Callithrix jacchus: one gene and its partners. The protein of the gene in region 1 purifies or fractionates together with the protein of each later gene. This does not show direct contact. Links are inferred from orthologs where the notes say so. Each region holds a gene or a part of one and is shown in the gene's direction. Other genes may lie near its edges.

Region 1 (5,371 bases):
CCCCTGCCTGGCGTGTGAATCCTGGGGAGGTTGTATCATCTTGGTTTCCTTGTCTTTAAAATAGGGATCATGCCATCTGCTGTGTACACTTCCAGGCTGTTGGGGGAATTATTTTTTTAAAGCTAGTGGTTATGGAAACACCTGTCACTTGGGCATTTGCTAACCAACTAGAAAGTGCAGGGTCCCAGACAGCCTGGCCCTCTGCAAGGACATTCACTCCTCTGCCACTTGGCTGTCAGAGGCGGAGAGGACCACTCAGGGGCTCCACATCTGGTGGAGCATATGCACTCTCACAGAGGGCATGGGCATCAAGGCCATGTGTGAAGCCGGAGCAGAGTGGGAGGTGTGACTAGCTGGAGGCACCACTGCAGAAATGACCCTGGACCATGAAGGACCAGGAAAGGGTGAAGGCCCAGAGTAAGGCCAGGTGTGGTGGCTCACGCCTGTAATCCCAGCCCTTTGGGAGGCCCAGGTGGGAGGATTGCTTAAATCCAGGAGTTCTAGATCAGCCTGGGCAACATCATAAGACCCCATGTCTACAAAAAAAAATTTTTTTTTTTTTTTTTTTTTGAGAAGAGTCTCACTCTGTCGCCCAGGCTGGAGTGCAGTGGTGCGATCTCAGCTCACTGCAACCTCCGCCTTCCAGGTTCAAGCGATTCTCCTGCCTCAGCCTCCTAAATAGCCAGGACTAAGGCTTGTGGTGGTGTGCACTCGTAGTCCCAGCTACTCAGGCGGGAAGGACCACTTGAACCTGGAAGGTAGAGGCTGCAGTGAGCTGTGATGGTGCCATAGCCCTTCGGCCTGCGTGACAGAGTGAGACCTTATCTCAAATTAAAAAAGAGAGAGAGAGAGAGAGAGAGAAGGCAGGGTGGAACCTAGGCAGGAAGAGACTAGAAACTCAGGAAAGGAGTTATAGAGGCTGGGGAGAGGGGTGGAGTTTGAGGCCAAGGCTTTTCCTGTCCCTGTGGCTCCTCATGCCAGCTGAGCATTTGGGACACATGCCCCTTCCCTACCTGGGAGCTGCAGAAAGGCAGGGGATGCTGTGGCCCCTTGGCAGAAGTGGGGACAGAGTCTTTGGGTGGCCTTTCAGCCATCTAGCAGAGTTCAGCGGGCAAGTGCTAGCCCTGGGGCAGGGAGCAGTAACCTAGTGGCTGTGGCAGCAGGAGCTTGAGTACAACCCAGGGAGAGATGAAGAGGCTAGGAGCTCAAGGAAAGCACAGCACCCCAACTAGGACTTTTCTGGGGTTCTCCTGATCCCAGAAGGAAGGAATTGGGGACTCCCAAGCCTCCTGGGTTTGGGCCTTGGACTATAGTGTGTTTGGGGCCTTGAGGAGATTCTTCCTTGAGGAGGAGAGAACCCCAAGGTCTGCAGCTTCTCACTGTAGGGTCAGGCCTGGTTCTTCACGAGGCACAGGTTAGAGTCATAAGCGAGGGGATCAGCAGGGCTCCGACCCTTACCTGGGCTGTTTGCACAGGTGATCTTGGCACTGTCGAGCCACCTGGGGGCCGTAGAATCAGAGAAGCAGAAGCTGCGGGCGCAGGTACGGCGCCTGGTGCAGGAGAACCAGTGGCTGCGTGAGGAGCTGGCGGGCACACAGCAGAAGCTGCAGCGCAGTGAGCAAGCTGTGGCCCAGCTCGAGGAGGAGAAGCAGCACCTGCTGTTCATGAGCCAGATCCGCAAGTTGGACGAAGACGCCTCCCCTAATGTGAGCCCCTACCATGGTCACTGTTGCCCAGCAAGGGGGCTTGGGAGCAGGAAGGGGGCAGCATGGAGCAGATTTGGCTCCAACCCAGCCCATGGTCACCTTGGCCGCCCTGTGCTTCCTTCCCTGACGCTCATCCTGTCTTCCTCCCCAGGAGGAGAAGGGGGACGTCCCCAAAGACACTCTGGATGACCTGTTCCCCAATGAGGATGAGCAGAGCACAGGTGCGGATGGGCAGTTCTGGAGTGAGGGAAGGAAAGGTTGTGTGAACTCACAGTCCTTGGGACCGAGTGGCTGCCATGTTCCTTCCTGCCTTACTTCTGCTCATGACATCCTAGTGTTAGAGCTTCAAGAACAGTTGTATGTGCTGCTGCTTCTCACATCCCCCAGTTCTAGGGAGCAGACATCACAGTTAAGAGCTATGGAGTTGCCAGCCTGGCTTCCAGTGCTGCTCTGCCACTAGCTCCTCAGACCCCTGGGAGAGTTATCTTCCTCTCTGTGCCACCTCTGTGGGAGGCACTTGCAGAGCCACACCAGGGCCAGTGCCTGCCTTGCTCAGGTATTGGGCGAGCGTTGGGGCTTCCACTCTGTACACAGGGACACAGGCTCAGAGGTTAGGTGACTTACTGCAGGATACTGAGCCTGACGTACTGGAGCTGGGCCTCTACCCCCTCTTTCTATGGGGTAACTAGACCCACTCTACAAATGGGGAAACTGAGAAAGAGTGCTTAGTGACTTGCCCAGGGCCAGGTGTCAAGTGGCTCAAAGGCACTGCTGGCATGTGCCAGCCCAGCCCAGCGGGCAGATGGTACATCTGACCTCCTGCCCTTGGCCTGCAGCCCCTAGCCCAGGAGGAGGGGATGTGTCTGCTCAGCATGGGGGATACGAGATTCCGGCCCGGCTCCGTACCCTGCACAACCTGGTGATCCAGTATGCCTCACAGGGCCGCTACGAGGTAGCTGTGCCACTCTGCAAGCAGGCACTGGAGGACCTGGAGAAGACCTCAGGCCACGACCATCCTGACGTTGCCACCATGCTGAACATCCTGGCACTGGTCTATCGGTGAGGGCTCCCTCGGGGTGCCCAAATTCTTCTGGAAGGCTCTAGCCCTGGATCACCAACCCTTGGTGCCTGTGTGGGCCAGGACTTGGGCCCCGTCTGCGTGCAGCTGGGCTGCACTAGTAAAACTGCCTAGTGTAGGAGAGAGGCTTGGCCAGAACCTCGGAGGGACTGCACATGAGGACTGCAAGGGTCCTGGGGAGTCCGCATGGCTTCTCCAGGTACCAAGGCTGGAGGAGGAGCTTTGGCAGAAAGTGAGTTTGCCCAACATAAGAGGGATGGAAAAGGTTCCCATGGAAAAAAGCCAGCATGAGCAAAGTCACTGGGACCTGGAGAGCAGGACACGCTAGAGGGGCAGCAGGAGAGCCATGTGGCACCCAGGACACTAGCCACCAGGCAGTCAGTGGGACCCCAGCACTACACACCCCAGTTAATTGTGAGAAAACTGCCCACAGCCCCCAGAGCTCAGAGGGCAGGAGCCAAGCAGGTCTCCCCACACTGTCACTCCTCAGTGAGTACAGGAGTGACCACAGGGATTGAAGGCCACTGGGGAGGGCCTTAAGCTGGAGGACAGCCATGACCATGCTCCTGCCTGCTTCCAGGGACCAGAACAAGTACAAGGAGGCTGCCCACCTGCTCAATGACGCTCTGGCCATCCGGGAGAAGACACTGGGCAAGGACCACCCGGCTGTGAGTGAGGATTGGGTGGGAGGTGGGGGCTGTGCCCCATCCTCTGTAGGTCCCAGAGTCCTGCAGGGCCTGGGTCAAGGAGCTTCCATTCTCCCACCCCTAGGTGGCTGCAACACTAAACAACCTGGCGGTCCTGTATGGCAAGCGGGGCAAGTACAAGGAGGCTGAGCCACTGTGCAAGCGGGCGCTGGAGATCCGGGAGAAGGTGGGAGTAGGCAGGACTGGGCAGGCTGGGGGTCTGGGAGGCAGGGGCCCAGGCAGCCCTGAGCCCAGCCCTGGCTCCCTCTCCCATCCCAGGTCCTGGGCAAGTTTCACCCAGACGTGGCTAAGCAGCTCAGCAATCTGGCCCTGCTATGCCAGAACCAGGGTAAAGCCGAGGAGGTAGAATACTACTACCGGCGGGCACTGGAGATCTATGCTACACGCCTTGGGCCTGATGACCCCAACGTGGCTAAGACCAAGAACAACCTGGTGCCTTGGGGTTGGGAGGGGCTGGAGGATAGGAAGGAGGGAGGGAGGGATGAGGTTGGGGAAGGAGGAGAGAATGGCTTGGCTCCATCCATCCGCTCACTCTCTGGGTCCCCTGCTTCCAGGCTTCCTGCTACCTGAAGCAGGGCAAGTACCAGGATGCAGAGACCTTGTACAAGGAGATCCTCACCCGCGCTCACGAGAAAGAGTTTGGCTCTGTCAATGGTGAGTGCATGGTTGCCATGTGCCTCTGGCCCATTCATCCCAGGCCCGCTCTGCCATCAGCACCCAGGACAAATCCTTCAGCCAGCAGTTCCTCTGGTTGGTCCTGGCTGGTCCCCAGCCTCACCCTCTGCTGGTGCCCAGCTACCTGTGTTCACATTTGCACATGTGAACACACACCCGACTCAGGCAGCCCCCTTGGCCTGCCAGTGCCTCACACACTTTTGGATCCCTTTTCTCCACTGGTGACTCCTGCTAACCTTGAGGGCCTGGCCCCAGCGTCTCCCGCTCTGGGAAACCACCTCTGGCCCTGGATGGCTTGTCATCTCCTGCTCCTGAGTCCCTTGGAGCCTGGCCTGTCATTCAGGCCTATCACATGTCTTGGGCTGTGGCCTGAGGTGTGTAAGGGTCTGTTCTGCTCATCTCTTTGTCCATTAGAGGGTCAGTAGTGTTTTGGGTCTCATTCTTGTTCCTTCATTCAACAAAGCTCAGGCCGGGCGCGGTGGCTCACGCCTGTAATCCCAGCACTTTGGGAGGCCTACGCGGGTGGATCACGAGGTCAAGAGATCGAGACCATCCTGGTCAACATGGTGAAACCCCGTCTCTACTAAAAATACAAAAAATTAGCTGGGCATGGTGGCGCGTGCCTGTAATCCCAGCTACTCAGGAGGCTGAGGCAGGAGAACTGCCTGAACCCAGGAGGCAGAGGTTGCGGTGAGCCGAGATCGTGCCATTGCACTCCAGCCTGGGTAACAAGAGCGAAACTCTGTCTCAAAAAAAAAAAAAAAGCTCAACCCTGGTCCTCCCTCCCCAGACTCCATCCTGTGTCCAGCCCAACCAGGTGAGGCCTATGTGGTAGGCTGGTGACGGTCCCCTTTCTCTCCCCAGGGGACAACAAGCCCATCTGGATGCATGCAGAGGAGCGGGAGGAGAGCAAGGTAGCTCTGTGGGGCAGGGCTGGGCAGGGATGTGCAAACGGGGCCTGGGCTCTCACTTCATGTGACCTTCCTCCAGGATAAGCGCCGGGACAGCGCCCCCTATGGGGAATACGGCAGCTGGTACAAGGCCTGTAAAGTAGACAGGTGAGGGAGGGGTGGGGCTGGGGAGCTGGGCACCCCAAGGCGGGTTCTGCACTCCCTACTCTCATCCCTGACACACCTCTCCTCTGCTGCTCATCTGGCAATGCCCAGCTCACAGGTCACCTATCCCAAGAAGGTGCACTCTCTTAA
Region 2 (4,815 bases), on another chromosome or scaffold:
ACCTCAAACATTTTCTTTCCTTCCTACCGGGCAGGCGCTGCGTGTCTGTGTGTGTATGGGGGATGGGGCTGCAGCATCTGCTCTTGCTCTGCACTGCACCTGCTCTGCACGCATCCTCCTCAATGCCACAGCCACCAAACTACTATTGTGCCTTTGCTGCCCAACCCTTTGCATGCCTTCTAAGCCCTTTCTGGTGAAGGGGGTCCCTCATCCCATGGTTGCCCTGGGGCTGTTGGTCTGGCACATGCTGGGAGATGTGGGGGAGGCTAGATGGAGATGGGACATGGTGCTGTCGCAAGAGCTCTGGGCTGCAGTGGAGACAGCAGGTTTTGCTGCCTAGAAAATTATGTAACTTTTTAGTGCCTGACCACCCACCCTTTGCTCCGGGAGAAGGAATGAGCTGGACAGAACAGCCCATTACATAAAGGCAATGAGACCTTTTGAGGAAATGACATGTTCTCCGTCTTCTCTGACCCCTGATTTTTCTTTCTTCTCTCTCCCCACCCCTGTCTCTTGCACTCCTCTGGGTGACTATCTTGGGTCACTCGCCTTCCTTTCCACTTCTTCCCTTTGGCTCACCCCATAGCTGGTACGTGACAATGCAGATCTGCGTTGTGAGCTTCCTAAACTGGAAAAACGACTTAGGGCTACGGCTGAGAGAGTTAAGGCCCTGGAGGGTGCACTGAAGGAAGCCAAGGAGGGTGCCATGAAGGACAAGCGCCGGTACCAGCAGGAGGTGGACCGCATCAAGGAGGCTGTTCGCTACAAGAGCTCGGGCAAGCGGGGCCATTCTGCCCAGATTGGTGAGTGGGTGTTAGCAGGCAAGGTGGGATACCCCCTGAAGCAAATTCAGCAAATTCCTAATTGCCAAGCAACTTGATTATTGCTTCTTATCTACCCCAGCCTCATCCCACTTCCCCCCCAAAAGTAAAAAAGTGATGATGTTACAAGCAACTCAGTTCAACCACAGCTAACTGACCTCAGGGATGGGGCAAATGCAGGGTCAAAGCCTCCTCATGGTTGTTTCCTTTCTTCACTGCAGCCAAACCTGTCCGGCCTGGCCACTACCCAGCGTCCTCACCCACCAACCCCTATGGCACCCGGAGCCCTGAGTGCATCAGTTACACCAACAGCCTCTTCCAGAACTACCAGAATCTCTACCTGCAGGCCACACCCAGCTCCTCCTCAGACATGTAGTGAGTGACCACAAGTGTGGGTGGGAGTCCCACCCAAGGCTCACTGGACCCTAGAAGGTATAGGGCTGGTCAGTTATTGGTTGTGGCTTATTTTCCTAAACCTTGTCTCAACTTCATGCCTATGATTAGAAGGTGGGTGTCTACCCTCCCAGCTTGTGACCATGTTTGTTGTCCTCTGCTCTCCGGGAATGGGGAGGGCTGTGCAGCTCTATCACTGAGGGTGAGTGTGGATTAGTGATCCTCAGACTACTGGAGGGTGGGTGCCAGATGCTGCCTCTTTCCTCTGCTCCCTCCAGCTTTGCTAACTCCTGTACCAGCAGTGGAGCCCCATCTTCTGGTGGCCCCTTGGCTTCCTACCAGAAAGCCAACACGGACAATGGTGAGTGAGAAAGATGGGTAATCCCACCTTTGGGGTCCTCAGAGCAAGTTGAGAGGCATAAAAGAAAGTGACCTTAGTCTATAAGAAATACTAACTGCACCTTTCGTGTGTGCCAAGGCTTCAAATAAAAAAGTACAGTTGGGTGTGGTGGCACGCACCTGTAGTCCCAGCTACTTGGGAGGCTGAGATAGGAAGATTGCTTGAGCTCAGGAGCTCAAGGAGTGCACTGTGATTACATCTGTGAACAGCCTGGGCATGGGCAGCATAGTAAGGCCACAACTCTAAAAGAATAATAATACATATATTTTAAAAAGTGACCCTGTACCAGCAGCTTGAGCATTGCTCAATCCTTTAGGTCTCAAACTGCCGCGGAAGTGGATTCCTCCTATTACCATGCCAGTCCCCACCCTCACCTTCCAGTCCCCCTTTCCTCTCCTTAGTGAGGGCCAGGGAGACTTTTTCTCCAACAAAATAATGATGCAGCTTGGGATAACTAAGGAGAAAGTGTCGCAGCTTATTTTTTTCTCTAAGGAATCAGGATGGGGGAGGGTTTTGGCAAACTGTTTCTAACACCCAGTCTCCTCTTTTTCTTCTTCTAATCGTGTTTTCTCAATGATGATCTCTTCAGGAAATGCCACAGATATCAATGACAATAGGTACAGCAGTCCCTACTACCCCTGAGTTCTCTGGGTGGGGCCAGAAGAAATGATTAAATTTCCCTTGTGCCCCTCTTGGAGGTTCCTGGAGCCTTGGGGGAAGGAGGAAGACAGACTTATTCTTTCCCTCACTGTGTTGTCCAGGAGATGCAGTCAGTCCCCTGCCCCAGTGCAGAGTGTCTCCCCTCCTCCATTCCCATCTGTGGCTTCTCCCTATTCCAGTGAGAAGGTCTGGATGAAAACATCATGGGCATCTGATGACTGGGTTTCTTTCCTACCTTTGGGAGCCTTGTAATATTGGACAAGTCATTTACGTCTGTCTGGCCTTGAGTTTCCCTGTATTCCTGTAAAATACCAATAGTCCCTGCCCTTTGTGATCTCACAGAAACCCTCTTAGAGCAGAGTGACCATGACAGGAATACTTTCATTTCTATGGAGCTGATTGTGTGGGTTTCTTCCTCCAGGAGTGACCTGCCTTGTGGCTATGAAGCTGAGGACCAGGCCAAGCTTTTCCCTCTCCACCAAGAGACAGCAGCCAGCTAATCTCCTACATCCACAGCTGCATACCTGCACTTTCAGGTAGATCAGGCTGCTTCCTCAGACCAGCCTCAGGATGCTTCCCTTCTTGCTGACAGCCTCTTTGGTTCTCCCGCTGCTTCTTTTTTTTTAACCATCTCAAAACATTTTACCCTTCAACTCCCGCTTTCCCCTGCTGGGGCCACGTCTGTGCTGCCCCATGTAACCTGGACACTGACCTTCCCTGGCCGCTTTTGCTTTCCCTTAGGGAATAGCGGTAATTACAGTACTGTCTTTTTGCCACTAGGGGTCACTGTCACATGTCCAAAGAAGCGAGATCGGCCTCTGTAGATTAGAGCCATACAGGGGTGGTAGCGGGCAGATCTATCAGAAGGCCATCCCAACCCCACCTCTACCTCCACCCTGAAATAATTTTGGATGGATAGGTGTTTTTGGAACTAAGACACCTCCGGTAAGGAGATGTTTATGCCTGCACCTGTGTCCCATCCTCCTCCCATGTGTGTATGCCACCAGTAAGCTTTAGGACGTGCCTCACGAAGTCAGTCAGTGCTCCCCTCCCATCTTTTTTAGTGGAGGTGGAAAAGCCCCTCTTTTTCCTCCTCTGTGCCCAGGTGCTCTCCTCTAGCAGCACAGGAACCTTCTTTGTTCTTGTCTATCACCAGGTTTCTCACCAAAGGTGCTTTAGGGCCCAGAAGTGGCACAGCGAGCATGGCCAGTTCTTACTGGGCTGCATCTAAGCTGAAGCCTCTCCAGGGGTTTCCCAGAATAGTAGACCCAGCACACACAGGCAGAAAAGCCTGAGAAGCAGAGAAGGAGGAATGCGGAAGAGGAGTCGGGGAGGCCTGGGGTGGAGGTGAAGGGCTGGGTCGCAGGGGTAGGGGGTCTGCTTGTTGGTATTAAAGGAACAGGATGGTAAACCAACATGTGTGCAGATGCCACCTGTTCCTGTTCCATGGCGGAGCTCCAAGCTGAGCCCTCACACTCTCTTTCTCTTTCTTTCCCAGTTTCTAAGAGGGACTGAGGCCTCTTCTTTCAGCATGCTGCAAACCTGTGGTCTCTGATACTAACTCCCTCCCCATTCCCTGTTGTTGGACTATACTATGTTTGATGTCTTACTTACTCTGTATCTCTTTGTACTCTGTATCTATATATCAAAAGCTGCTGCTATGTCTCTTCTGTCTTACTCTCTAAGTATCTACTGATGTATTTAGCAATTTCAAAGCATAGTCTACCTTCCTTATTTGGGGCAATAGGGAGGAGGGTGAATGTTTCTTCTTTCTTATACTTGTCTCACACTGAGAGGTGTTAGTCACCAAGTAGAGGTCACAGACATGACAAAAGGAAGAACGGGAGTTAGAGGGCTGTGACCCTTCACACACACACACACACACACACACACACACACACACACAAAGCCTTAAGGAGAAGAATGTCCTAGCATCATAAGACAGATAAATAGATTCTTCCTCCCTCCTCTTTCACATATAGCACAGGGGAAGGTGAAATGGAAGGGCTGCTAAATGAGACATATAATTTTCTTCATACATCCCTCACCTTAATCAAAGGATTTGGGTGTTTACCTCTGTCCTACAAAGCCTGCCTTTTGCCTCCCTCTTCCTGTTTTCCCCTGGACTGAGAAATGGGTTGCTCAAGGGAGCATTTCCCTTTTTCTTCACTGCTCCTTTTGATATTCCCTGCCCCAGAGCTCGTGACCAGAACCCAGAGTTGATTTAAAATATCTTGAAAAGTTGAGGAGGCAGACTGCTCCCAGCAGCCTGTTAATGGCGGCTCATCTGTCCATGGTGATGGTTACAGGAAGATGTAGTCAACATGATTGATTCCTTGGGTTTGGGGGTGAATAGGCTGGGAAATTTGAGCCTTTCTTTTTGTCACAATGCAATGAGCTGGATTCCTTTCTCAGACCTGTACTGGACCGTATACTCCTCACATCTCCATCCACCCTTTGGTTTGGGGCTTCCAGCTCATTGGCAAAATCTCTCTAGTTGCCTTCCTTTCAAGCTGGAGCCTGCCCTTTCCTCAACATACA
Region 3 (5,371 bases), on another chromosome or scaffold:
TTTACTTTGTATGGGCTAAAGGATGTTTTTCTTAACTCCATTGAGTTGGTATGATTTATATCTAAAAACTTGGAATATACATTTGTATTTTAGTGAAAGCAAGGTCTTATATTTCAGTGGTGGTTAAGATTTAGTTTTCTGTTTATCAGTCTGCTTACTGTTTCCTTATCTCCATATTACTTCAGGACACAGCATAAAAATTAACTGAAAACAAGATATTAAGTAACTTAAAAGATTTTAAGATCTATCACAAAAACTAAGTTTTTGTTAAGTTTTTCTCTTACATAAAAGAGCATTGTGGTTTTAGCCTTGCCGTTTTGAACAGAGGTTTCCATGGTTTACTTTTTCTCATTTTCTGAAAACTCAGTTTTCTAGAGTCTTCAAGTAGAAAATTCATGATTATAATTTTTCACATACCTTGAGTTTGTGAGATAATTTGCAAATGAACTGCTATTAGGATAGTTAGAACATCAGGACAAGTTCATAGTGGATTTTATAAAGATTCTGCTAACTTGCAGCTGTAATTGTGTTTAGAATAATTTTAATGTAAAATATTTTAGTCTTTGATAGTTTATAATCTCTGTAATTAGTTAATCGTCACTTTGGATAAATAAGAGTATAATAATATGGCATATTTGAAAATACAAATTAGAACCATTCCTTATTCTTCGAATTCGGCCACATTTTATTTCATCTCTTTTGTTGGTGTATATGGAATTTATAACAATAAACTGTTGTTTTAGAAGGCATAGGAAATTTCTTCAAAATGGCCAGGTGCAGTGGCTCACACCCATAATAGCACTTTGGTAGGCCAAGGCAGGAGAATCACTTGAGCCTAGAGTTTGAGAATCAGCCTAGGCAGCATAGGGAGACCCCGTCTCTACAAAAAACTCTTTAGACAGGCCTGGTTGTACATGCCTGTAGTCCCAGCTACTTGGGAAACTGAAGCAGGGAGGATCATTTGAGCCTAGGTGGTCAAAGGCTGCAGTGAGCAGTGTTCAGGACAGAAACGCTGTTTCAAAAAAAAAAATTGAAATACAACATGGATAAATTGTTTAAAGCAAGCATCTTGTATTTATTTAAATTTAATAATTGATCCTTTCAGATACAAAATATTCAACTCTCATGCAAAGTACAACTAGAATTTTATGGAATAAAATTTGAAAATTTATGTTTGTTCTTCTGTTAGGATTATACAAGATAGACGAGAACAAGCAAAACAAGACTTGAAGGGTTTGGAAGAGACAGTGGTAAGAAAAGGACTGGGGAATATTTTGTGGGGTTTTTTCTACCATGATTATTCTGAATTTAAAGTCTGAACTCCAAAAATATTGCTGTTTCTTAATCCAAGGCAAAAGAACTTCAGACTTTACATAACCTGCGCAAGCTCTTTGTTCAGGACCTGGCTACCAGAGTTAAAAAGGTAATATAACTATGCCGAGGTGGGTGTTTGTGTAATGGTGCTTACTTCTAGGTAATTCTTTTATTCAAAGTGAAATAACTTTATAGTTATGTCAGTTTTTGTACAATTAAGCTTAGATTTTTTTTATTTTTTTATTTTTTCGTAATACTTACCTTCTTTTCTCAGAGTGCTGAGATTGATTCTGATGACACTGGAGGCAGCGCTGCTCAGAAGCAAAAAATCTCCTTTCTTGAAAATAATCTTGAACAGCTCACTAAAGTGCACAAACAGGTACTAAAGAGTTTATTTTCTGGTAGCTGAAAGGGTAGTAACAAATCAAAAATTGATTATTGGCAAGTATTTCAGTCTTTCAGAATTTCTATACTCTGAGCCATTTTATCAGAAATTATGTAAAGAAACCACAAGTAACTTTTAGAGGAGTTAATTTTAACAACCTTATTATCAAAAGAGATAGTGAAAATATGTATTCTTATTTTCTCTTTAGGATTTTAAGACTGCATTTTCATAATTTATTGTAATTTTGAAATCTCTACTACATAGACTTTGCAGTTAAAATACAGTCTTCTGGGGAGAGTGGTCTTTTTATACCTAATACACCACCCAGTGTGTCAAATATAATGAAGGAGTTTGTCATGTTTTTAAAAAGTAATGCTTACTTTGGAGGTTTTTTTGGTTCTTTGCTTATTTTTTGTTGGGACTTGATAAATGATTTAAGTTACTAATTTCAAAAAGTTTCTCTACACTTAATTGTTGTGTATCTTTGTTACTGTAAACCTGATGTTTGCACCAGAGTATGGTTAAAGATATTTTAGCTTTTCTTGTCTTCAGCACTTATTAAGGGTCTTGCTAAGTTTATGTTTCTTATGTGCTTAATATATCTAAAGAGATTTTCATTTCAGCAGATTACTTGTCTTACTGAAGAAACATAGCACTGTCTTGTAATTTATTGTCTTTGCCTAGTAGAGGGAAATAACAGTCCCCCCCCTCAAAAAAAATTAGAGGAAATTATACCTTTGTGAATAAATAGATGTGTATATGATATGTACAGATGGATGTATTCTCTGCATGTTTCTGCCTAAATTAGATAAATGGGAAACAACATAAGATGCAGTTTTACTTCTTTTCTAAAGAGCAATTATGAAATACTTGTACTTTTAAAAATCATTTTGTTAAATCTAGAATCCTTGTTTTCTTTGTGAACCCCTTAGTTGGTACGTGATAATGCAGATCTCCGCTGCGAACTTCCTAAGTTGGAAAAGCGACTTCGAGCTACAGCTGAAAGAGTGAAAGCTTTGGAATCAGCGTTGAAAGAAGCCAAAGAAAATGCATCTCGTGATCGCAAACGCTATCAGCAAGAAGTAGATCGCATAAAGGAAGCAGTCAGGTCAAAGAATATGGCCAGAAGAGGGCATTCTGCACAGATTGGTTAGTAGAACACATTAAAACCTTTAAACCTTGCTCAGTTTGAATGCTTTTAGTTGAAAACATAATCTGAATTTTATAACGTGTTTTCATGGTGCATCTGTCTTTATTTTCTAACTTAGCAAAGAGTGGCACATGGTGGGAAAGAGGAATAACCACATTAGCAGGACATGAAGATAAATGAGAACTAGAGAAGCAAGCAAGAATTGTCATGGAATGGAGAAACTATATAGAGCAATATTACTAAAGCCAAGAGAATTGCAAGAAAAGCCATCAGCAATGATTTCATGTTTAAGAATGATCATTGGTGGCTGGGCACAATGGCTCACGCCTGTAATCCCAGCACCTTGGGAGGCCGAGGTGGTTGGATCACCTGAGGTCAGGAGTTTGAGACCAACCTGACTAACATGGTGAAACCGCCTCTCTACTAAATACAGAAAATTAGCTGGGCATGGTGGTTAACAGCTGTAATCCCAGCTACTTGGGAGGCCGGGGCAGGAAAATCCTTTGAAGCTGGGAGGTGGAGGTTGCAGTGAGTCAAGATTGCGCCATTGCACTCCAGCCTGGGTGACAAGAGAGAGACTCCATCTCAAATAATAATAATAACCATCATTGGTGCAGGAAGTTTTTTGTTTTTTATTTGTTTCTGTATATTTATTTAAATGACACAGGGTCTTACACTGTCACCTGTGCTGGACTGCAGTGGTACAATTATGGCTCTCTGCAGCCCTAACCTCCCAGGCCCATGCAATCCTCCCACCTCAGCCTCCCAAGTAGCCAGGACTACCTACAGGAGCATACCACCACATCTGGCTGATTTTTGTATTTTCTGTAGAGACTGGGTCTTGCCTTACTGCTCTCTTTGGTCTTGAAATCCTGGACTCAAGTGATCCACCCACCTCAGCCTCTTGAAGTGCCGGCATTACACAGGCCTGAGCCACTGCACCTGGCCAGGAAGAAGATTTTTAAAGGCTAAGAATTGTACAGGTCCTAGAAAAAAGAATGGAACAGAAAAGAAAAAGTGATAGAGAAACAAAAAGGCAAAGAAAAACTAATCATTTGGAAATTTGTCGAGAATAAGAGAAGATACCTTAATAGTCATTGCTGTCACATCTTAAGCTTTATTCTAAAGCCAGTCTTTATTTTTCATATTAGCTAAACCTATTCGTCCCGGGCAACATCCAGCAGCTTCTCCAACTCATCCAAGTGCAATTCGTGGAGGAGGTGCGTTTGTTCAGAACAGCCAGCCAGTGGCAGTTCGAGGTGGAGGAGGCAAACAAGTGTAAACATTTATACATACCCACAGGTTTGTAATTTATACCTGGCTTTTCATAGCTATATATGGAAAATTGGTTGTTAAATGGTTTTGGGGGTTTTAAAAATTCTCATATTAGTGCTATAATTTTTTTAAACTTAAGCAATTATAAAAGTTATTTAGCTTGATCTTTTTTTATAGTTTAGATCATACTGTATTCAAATTTGTGATCTTAATTGTTTTGAAATCTAGCATTGGACCATTTGTAATAAATAGCTCTTAATGTTCTGTCTAATGGATGTACCATGGTTTATAAACATCCCTTTTTGCTAGATATGTAATTATATTAATTTGTTCCATAATTGAAATTTACAGAAACCACAATTTTTATGTACGAAATATGAAACATCGTTTTTTTTTTTGAGATGGAGTGTCACTCTTGTCACCCAGCCTGGAGTGCAATGGCGTGAGATCGGCTCACTGCAACCTCCGCCTCCTGGGTTCAAGCAATTCTCCTGCCTCAGTCTCCTGAGTAGCTGGGATTACAGGTGCCCATCACCACACCCGGCTAGATTTTTGTATTTTTAGTAGAGACGGGGTTTTACCATGTTGGCCAGGCTGGTGTCAAGCACCTGACTTCATGTGATCTGCCCGCTCAGCCTCCCAAAGTGCTGGGATTACAGGCATGAGCCATTGGGCCTGGTCTAAAACATCTTTTTGTACTCCCTAACCTGTTAGAGATTATTTCCAGAAGCTTCCCAGAAATGGAATTACAAGGAAATGTGAACATTTTTAAGGCTCTTTGTTCATATTTACACATTGGTTTCTAGAAAGACGGCACTGAATTGCATATGAGCCCAGGTTACTAACAGATTTCTGAGCTTTATTAATTTATAATTATGTACTGCATAAAACAATCACTAATTAGAAAAAATCCAGAGATACTACTATATATATATTTCTTTCTAGAGCTTTCTGTACCAGCTTTTAAATTTAAAAGTTTAAACTGTTGATAACTCTACATATTCTGCTACATATGCTGCTTTGTAGCCTGCTTTTTAAACTTAGCAATATATTCTGAACACTTTCTTGTACAACATGATTGTTAGGTTAGTAGTTGCCTAATAATTCATCATATCGCAGGAACTATGATTGTAACTCTTCAGGAAGTCCCTGATGTGTATGAGCATTGGAAATAAAAAATACTAGATAACTATGAAATGATTAACTGTTTCTGACAAATACTAGAGCTAGTTTTTTTTAATGTTCCT
Region 4 (5,371 bases), on another chromosome or scaffold:
TTATTTTCTTGCATCCTTTGTTTGTTTATTTAGATGAAGTCTTGCTCTGCTGCCCAGGCTATAGTGCAGTGGCGTGATCTCGGCTCACTACAACCTCCGCCTCCCGGGTTCAAGCGATTCTCCTGCCTCAGCCTCCCAAGTAGCTGGGATTATAGGTGCCACCACACCCAGTGAATTTTTTTTCTGTATTTTTAGTAGGGATGGGGTTTTGCCATGTTGGCCACTCCTGACCTCAAGTGCTCCACCTGCCTCGGCCTCTCAAAGTGCTGGAATTATAGGCATGAGCCACTGCATCTGGCCCCAATACTTTGTTTAAAGTATGGAATAGCCAACTAACTATAAAATACAGTTTTCTTTGAGTTAAGGCTATACAGCTTTAAACTAACAACAAAAAATAACATATAAAACAAAACACATGTGCACACAAAACAGATTTTGCAATAAGAACATATCTGTCTTTTAATTTATTTATTTTTAAAGTCTGGACCATACTGTGAGATTTTCCATCATCCTGAAGTTTTCCAACTTTTTTTCTTGTATCTTGTTTTTAAATTACTTAATTTTGGATACAGCATAGAATGTAAACATTTGAACACTAGTTTCACAAGTTCCATGCCATCCTATTTCCCTAGCTTTTAGCTTCCACAAGAAGAGACTATGAGAAGATACAAGAGGAGCTGACACGTCTCCAGATTGAAAACGAGGCAGCCAAGGATGAGGTGAAAGAAGTTCTCCAGGCCCTGGAGGAGCTGGCTGTCAATTACGACCAGAAATCACAGGAAGTGGAGGATAAGACCCGGGCCAATGAGCAGCTGACAGACGAGCTGGCCCAGAAAACGGTTGGAGCATTTGTGTCTAGGGGGTGGGACTTCCTTGGCTGCCATTCCTGTACTCATATTGCTATTCATTGACAGACGTGGTATAAGGAGGTGGTGGCTGAATAGTTATTCAGTGTTAGATGTATTCTCTGAGATCCCACCAACAATTGAAATACTTCATGCAAGTGACTTTTGTCCACTCATCTTGAACTGCATATCACGACTGCTTTATATCCAGAGAATTTATAACATTAGTGGGGATGCTCTGTGGGAATAGTGAAAAGAGTGCAGACTTTGGAGCCAGAAAATCTTAGTTACAAGTCTGACTTCATAACTCTTAGACCTTAGCTGCGACAGTAAAGTTTTGTGAGTATTCATTCCCTTATCTGTAAAAATGGCAATGATAACATGCTGCTTGCATGGTGTGAAGATTAGTGACAGTTTATGTAAAACACTCAGCACAGATCTGTGCATGTGCTACAATATCAATACATACATCTCCAAGCATTGCTACTGGCAAGAAATGGGGTCCCACAGAAGGTATGGACTTCACTCTTCTTGCTTATACCCTCCTGAATGAATTCCATTCCTTTCTGTGGGCTTCCTGTCCTGGCTGTTATTTTCAGGAGCCTGGAATTAAGCTGCCCTTGTTTGTTTGTTTGCTATTCTGTTTTAAGCCAGTGTTTCAGCCTGCACATTCCCTTATTTCCAGATTCTTCTAATGAAAGATGCCGTAGGTTCTACAGTGAGCTAGCAGTAGCAGGGCCAGTGAGTGTTTGGCATGATGGGATGGGATGTGTCCTTTTCTACCTGGAAAATGAGTGGTAGAGAAGCTGAGTGACTCTAACCTGCTTTCCTTAGCACTTCTGTGCAATGGCCTGGTGTCCTGGGCTTGTGCCCAGCCTGCTTTGTGGAAAGCATCCAGTTTAAAAAGAAGTGGCAGATGGCACAGGAGAGTGCTGATCTGCCGACTGTGAGGCTGACAGGAAGTTCTCCTCACGGCATGCAGGAAGAAGACTTTTCTAGCAGCTTCCTAAGATGGGGACTACTGCCTCTGTGGGTTTTAAAAACAAGATGACATAAGCAGTTGGCAATGCCAAACAAAATAAAACAAACTCATTCAGATGTCACTTAGGAAAGGGGAGACTTAGATTTCCTCTGCTTAGTGTTTTCTATGGGATTCTTTTAATTCATCCTTAATATTATTTCCTTCTTAAAACAATGAAACATTTTTCATAATACAGTTCTTACTTGCCATGAAACCAAAGTATTACTAGATTGGTTTAGAAGATGATTATTAGATTGTTTAAGAATGCCCTGGCTACATATGGGAGAATTGTATAAGCAGATAACTGTTTTACTGATGGTGAGCATTAGTTAAGAATACATACCTTTTGTCAAGATACAGGAAGGATGAAAAAGAGATGGGTTTATTAAAGTTTGACAAGAAAATAGAGCTTCTGCTATATAGTAAGAAACCAACTATTGAACTTAACCTAATTTTGAAAAAAGATGAAGAGTGTTTAATTCAGCTTCACTCTGAAAATTAGACTTTTGTGAAGTTTTCTAAACTTGTTGATGTTCCTCTAGGCCATCTGTTTTAGATCCACCTGTCTTTGTCAATTTAGGTGGAAATATGGAGGTTGCCAGGGAGCAGGTTTGTTTAGGAGTGGAGGTGGGGACACTTGCAGGTGAGTTTAGACCATGAAATGAAACAGGGAGGTCTGAAATAGAACATCTGGTAAGTAGGAGGATGCAATTACGTTATAAACTTAAGATTTCTTTTTTGGCTTTACTTATTTTTAATAACTTATTTCCCTGACTTGGAAATTGTCATCTGATATGTAGACATATAACATCAGGCCATGTGATATAACTTGTGAATATAGAGTTCCTCTTCTTATCTAAGAATGCAGGGCTATGCAACCATTTGCCTTAAAATGATTCTTAGGTTGAAGTCATGTAAAAGAAATCCATTCTACATGATGGTGTTATTCTTTGTAATGTGGAGTGTATGAAATTGATGGACAACTCTTTGAATTTGTTGTTGAAATTTGTTTTTCAGACTACATTGACAACCACGCAGAGAGAGCTGAGCCAGCTACAAGAGCTTAGCAACCACCAGAAGAAAAGGGCAACTGAGATCCTGAATTTGCTGTTGAAAGATTTGGGGGAGATAGGTGGAATTATTGGCACCAATGATGTGAAAACCGTAAGCCAGCCCTTTTATCCTCTCTGCCTGTTCTTATCAAGTTAGCGGGGTCTATGCTTTATTCTTTTAAGCATCAATACTTAGCACTGTGCTTTGCATCTGCCATATGCTTGGTAGTGTTTGTATGAATGAGAAAAGGACTGATTGAATGACTGAGTGAATGGTTGTTGGAGTGAGGAGGAAAAACAAATTTACCTTTGAAATCTAGGCAGTGTCTTCAAATCTTGGTTGTCTTTGTGTAAACTGGTTTATTCCTCAAACTTATTTTGTTGCAGAAGTTTGGAATTAAATAGCTTAAGCAACAGTTCAAATCTCAGAATTGTGTTTTTCCATTTCTAAAAGAGCCCAGTGGAGTGAAAATTCTCCAACAAGTCAGTGTGAAAGTAATAGGATTCTATGGCTTAAGAAATAAAACCACATTTAATTATCACGATATCAGAAGCCTAAAATCTCGCTATTCAGGGTGTGATCTGCCTCAACAGGAAGCTTATTGGAACTACAGCCTCTCAGGCCCCACCGCAGACCTATTGAATCAAAATCTGTACTTTAACAAGATCCTCCAGGTGATTCTTTATGTTTATTAAAGTTTGAGAAGTAAATTTTGGTTTGGTGCCATGACTCAATAATGTCAAATTCCCAGCCTGTTTCCTTTTCATATCCAGAGGATTGTGCCTCATGGTAGCAAGATAGCTGCTGTAGTACAAATCATCACATCCTCACTCAACGACATTCAAGGCAGGATGGGCTGAAAAGGCCAACTGCTTTCATCTAGGAGGGAAACATATCCCAGATGTCCCCAGGAGACATTTCCTTACACTTCATTGGCCAGGATTGGATCACATGACCACTCCACGTTTCTGGGAAAGCAAAGGGGAATAGGATTACTATAATTGGCATAAACCAATTGTGATGGATCCCCTCGTGTTGTATGCATTGGTGCTCTTGGTTTTTTTGTTTGTTTTTTGAGACAGAGTTTTGCTCTGTCACCCAGAGACTGGAGTGCAGTGGTGCAATCTCGGCTCACTGCAATCTCTGCCTCCCATATTCTAGTGATTCTTGTGCCTCAGTCTCCCGAGAAGCTGGAATTACAGGCATGTGCCACCATGTTCTGCTAATTTTTGTATTTTTCTTTTAATTTTTTAGTAGAGATGGGATTTCTCCATGTTGGCCAGGCTGATCTCAAATTCCTGGCCTCAAGTGATTTGCCCACCTTGGCCTCCCAAAGTGCTGGGAATACAGGCATGAGCCACTGTGCCTGGTCATTGGTGCTCTTGATGGCTAGAAAGTAAGATGTGGGGAGAATAGGGGTGGTATAAAGTTGTCTAGGAGCTAGGAATAGAAGGAAGAGAGATAATTAAAAATGGTGTCAGCCAAGAGCAGTTAACAATTTTCTGGAATATAGAAAGGCCATTGTTGTCATTAACCAAAAAAACAGGGTAGAGACACTTTTAAAACAAAATTTTATTGGGTATAATTTACATAAAGCTGTTCATATTGAAAGTATACAGTCTGAGAAATTTCGACATATGTGTACACTCATGAAACCATCAGCACCGTTAAGATAATGAGTGTCTCCATCTCTGCCAAAAGTATGTGGGGCTCTTTCTGGTCTCTCTATTTTGTTTCGTGGATCAAGTCTTTCTGCCAATACCACAATGTTTTGATTCCCATAGCTTTATAATAATATAGCATCTTACACAGAGGAGTCAGTGATGATATATGTTGATTTTCTTGAGCTGGGGAATGGTAATGACATTGCTTACCTTACATCTCACAATTTGCTGAAACCAAAATCTTTGCATTTAGCCATTTTATCTTTAGAAAGATGAATTCTACATCAGTCTGTTTAGTGGGAACACTGAGGTTGTGAGTTGAGATTGTTAAATACAGAAAAGCTCCCAAGATTAGGCTTCCTTTTGTAGACTATTGCTGGGAAATGATGAAAGCTCTTTTTGGAGGGCGTATCAGGTCTCTACTTAGAGTACATGACTGCCTATTAACCATTCTTTCATGGAACCTGTATGGTAACTGAATATTTCATAAATCCTTGTGAGTGAATCTAATTCTAGCACATACTGTAGAGTTAACCTTATTAAGCTTCAGTTTGGTGATTTTATATTTGGAGATTTAATTTTTGGAACCATACATTTGTGTTGAGCAATAAAATTCTGATGTGAAGTGATTAAATGGCCTCACAATATGAAGGTGGGGTTGATTTATGGGAAGCTGATGCTTGCTGCTGATAATGATAAAGGAAGAATGTATTTTTATGCTAAGTTCTTAAATAGAGCTGATGAAAATGCTAATGAAATCAGGAGTGTCTAGGTGCTTCAGTATTAAA

The links.
Region 2: the proteins of KLC2 (region 1) and KIF5A purify together in Homo sapiens (affinity purification with western blotting; 3 studies listed by BioGRID and IntAct, with this or other methods). This does not show direct contact. The link is inferred for Callithrix jacchus from reciprocal best matches to the Homo sapiens genes KLC2 and KIF5A.
Region 3: the proteins of KLC2 (region 1) and KIF5B fractionate together in Homo sapiens (co-fractionation; 7 studies listed by BioGRID and IntAct, with this or other methods). This does not show direct contact. The link is inferred for Callithrix jacchus from reciprocal best matches to the Homo sapiens genes KLC2 and KIF5B.
Region 4: the proteins of KLC2 (region 1) and KIF5C purify together in Homo sapiens (affinity purification with western blotting; 3 studies listed by BioGRID and IntAct, with this or other methods). This does not show direct contact. The link is inferred for Callithrix jacchus from reciprocal best matches to the Homo sapiens genes KLC2 and KIF5C.

Annotation. Positions count from the first base shown.
Region 1 is NC_133511.1:123,340,380-123,345,750, forward strand, and holds part of KLC2 (kinesin light chain 2), read left to right. Parts: intron 1-1,475; coding exon 1,476-1,706; intron 1,707-1,857; coding exon 1,858-1,927; intron 1,928-2,542; coding exon 2,543-2,765; intron 2,766-3,364; coding exon 3,365-3,452; intron 3,453-3,555; coding exon 3,556-3,657; intron 3,658-3,749; coding exon 3,750-3,923; intron 3,924-4,045; coding exon 4,046-4,145; intron 4,146-5,030; coding exon 5,031-5,080; intron 5,081-5,156; coding exon 5,157-5,224; intron 5,225-5,371. UniProt on the Homo sapiens protein: Kinesin is a microtubule-associated force-producing protein that plays a role in organelle transport. The light chain functions in coupling of cargo to the heavy chain or in the modulation of its ATPase activity.
Region 2 is NC_133510.1:62,114,708-62,119,522, reverse strand, and holds part of KIF5A (kinesin heavy chain), read left to right. Parts: intron 1-586; coding exon 587-803; intron 804-1,042; coding exon 1,043-1,196; intron 1,197-1,492; coding exon 1,493-1,575; intron 1,576-1,733; exon of another isoform or gene 1,734-1,856; intron 1,857-2,203; coding exon 2,204-2,231; intron 2,232-2,509; exon of another isoform or gene 2,510-2,559; intron 2,560-2,695; coding exon 2,696-2,774; 3' UTR 2,775-2,810; intron 2,811-3,772; 3' UTR 3,773-4,815. UniProt on the Homo sapiens protein: Microtubule-dependent motor required for slow axonal transport of neurofilament proteins (NFH, NFM and NFL). Can induce formation of neurite-like membrane protrusions in non-neuronal cells in a ZFYVE27-dependent manner.
Region 3 is NC_133508.1:31,751,490-31,756,860, reverse strand, and holds part of KIF5B (kinesin-1 heavy chain), read left to right. Parts: intron 1-1,189; coding exon 1,190-1,250; intron 1,251-1,351; coding exon 1,352-1,423; intron 1,424-1,588; coding exon 1,589-1,693; intron 1,694-2,631; coding exon 2,632-2,848; intron 2,849-4,000; coding exon 4,001-4,131; 3' UTR 4,132-4,151; intron 4,152-5,371. UniProt on the Homo sapiens protein: Microtubule-dependent motor required for normal distribution of mitochondria and lysosomes. Can induce formation of neurite-like membrane protrusions in non-neuronal cells in a ZFYVE27-dependent manner.
Region 4 is NC_133507.1:81,414,360-81,419,730, reverse strand, and holds part of KIF5C (kinesin heavy chain), read left to right. Parts: intron 1-632; coding exon 633-839; intron 840-2,883; coding exon 2,884-3,030; intron 3,031-5,371. UniProt on the Homo sapiens protein: Microtubule-associated force-producing protein that may play a role in organelle transport. Has ATPase activity. Involved in synaptic transmission. Mediates dendritic trafficking of mRNAs.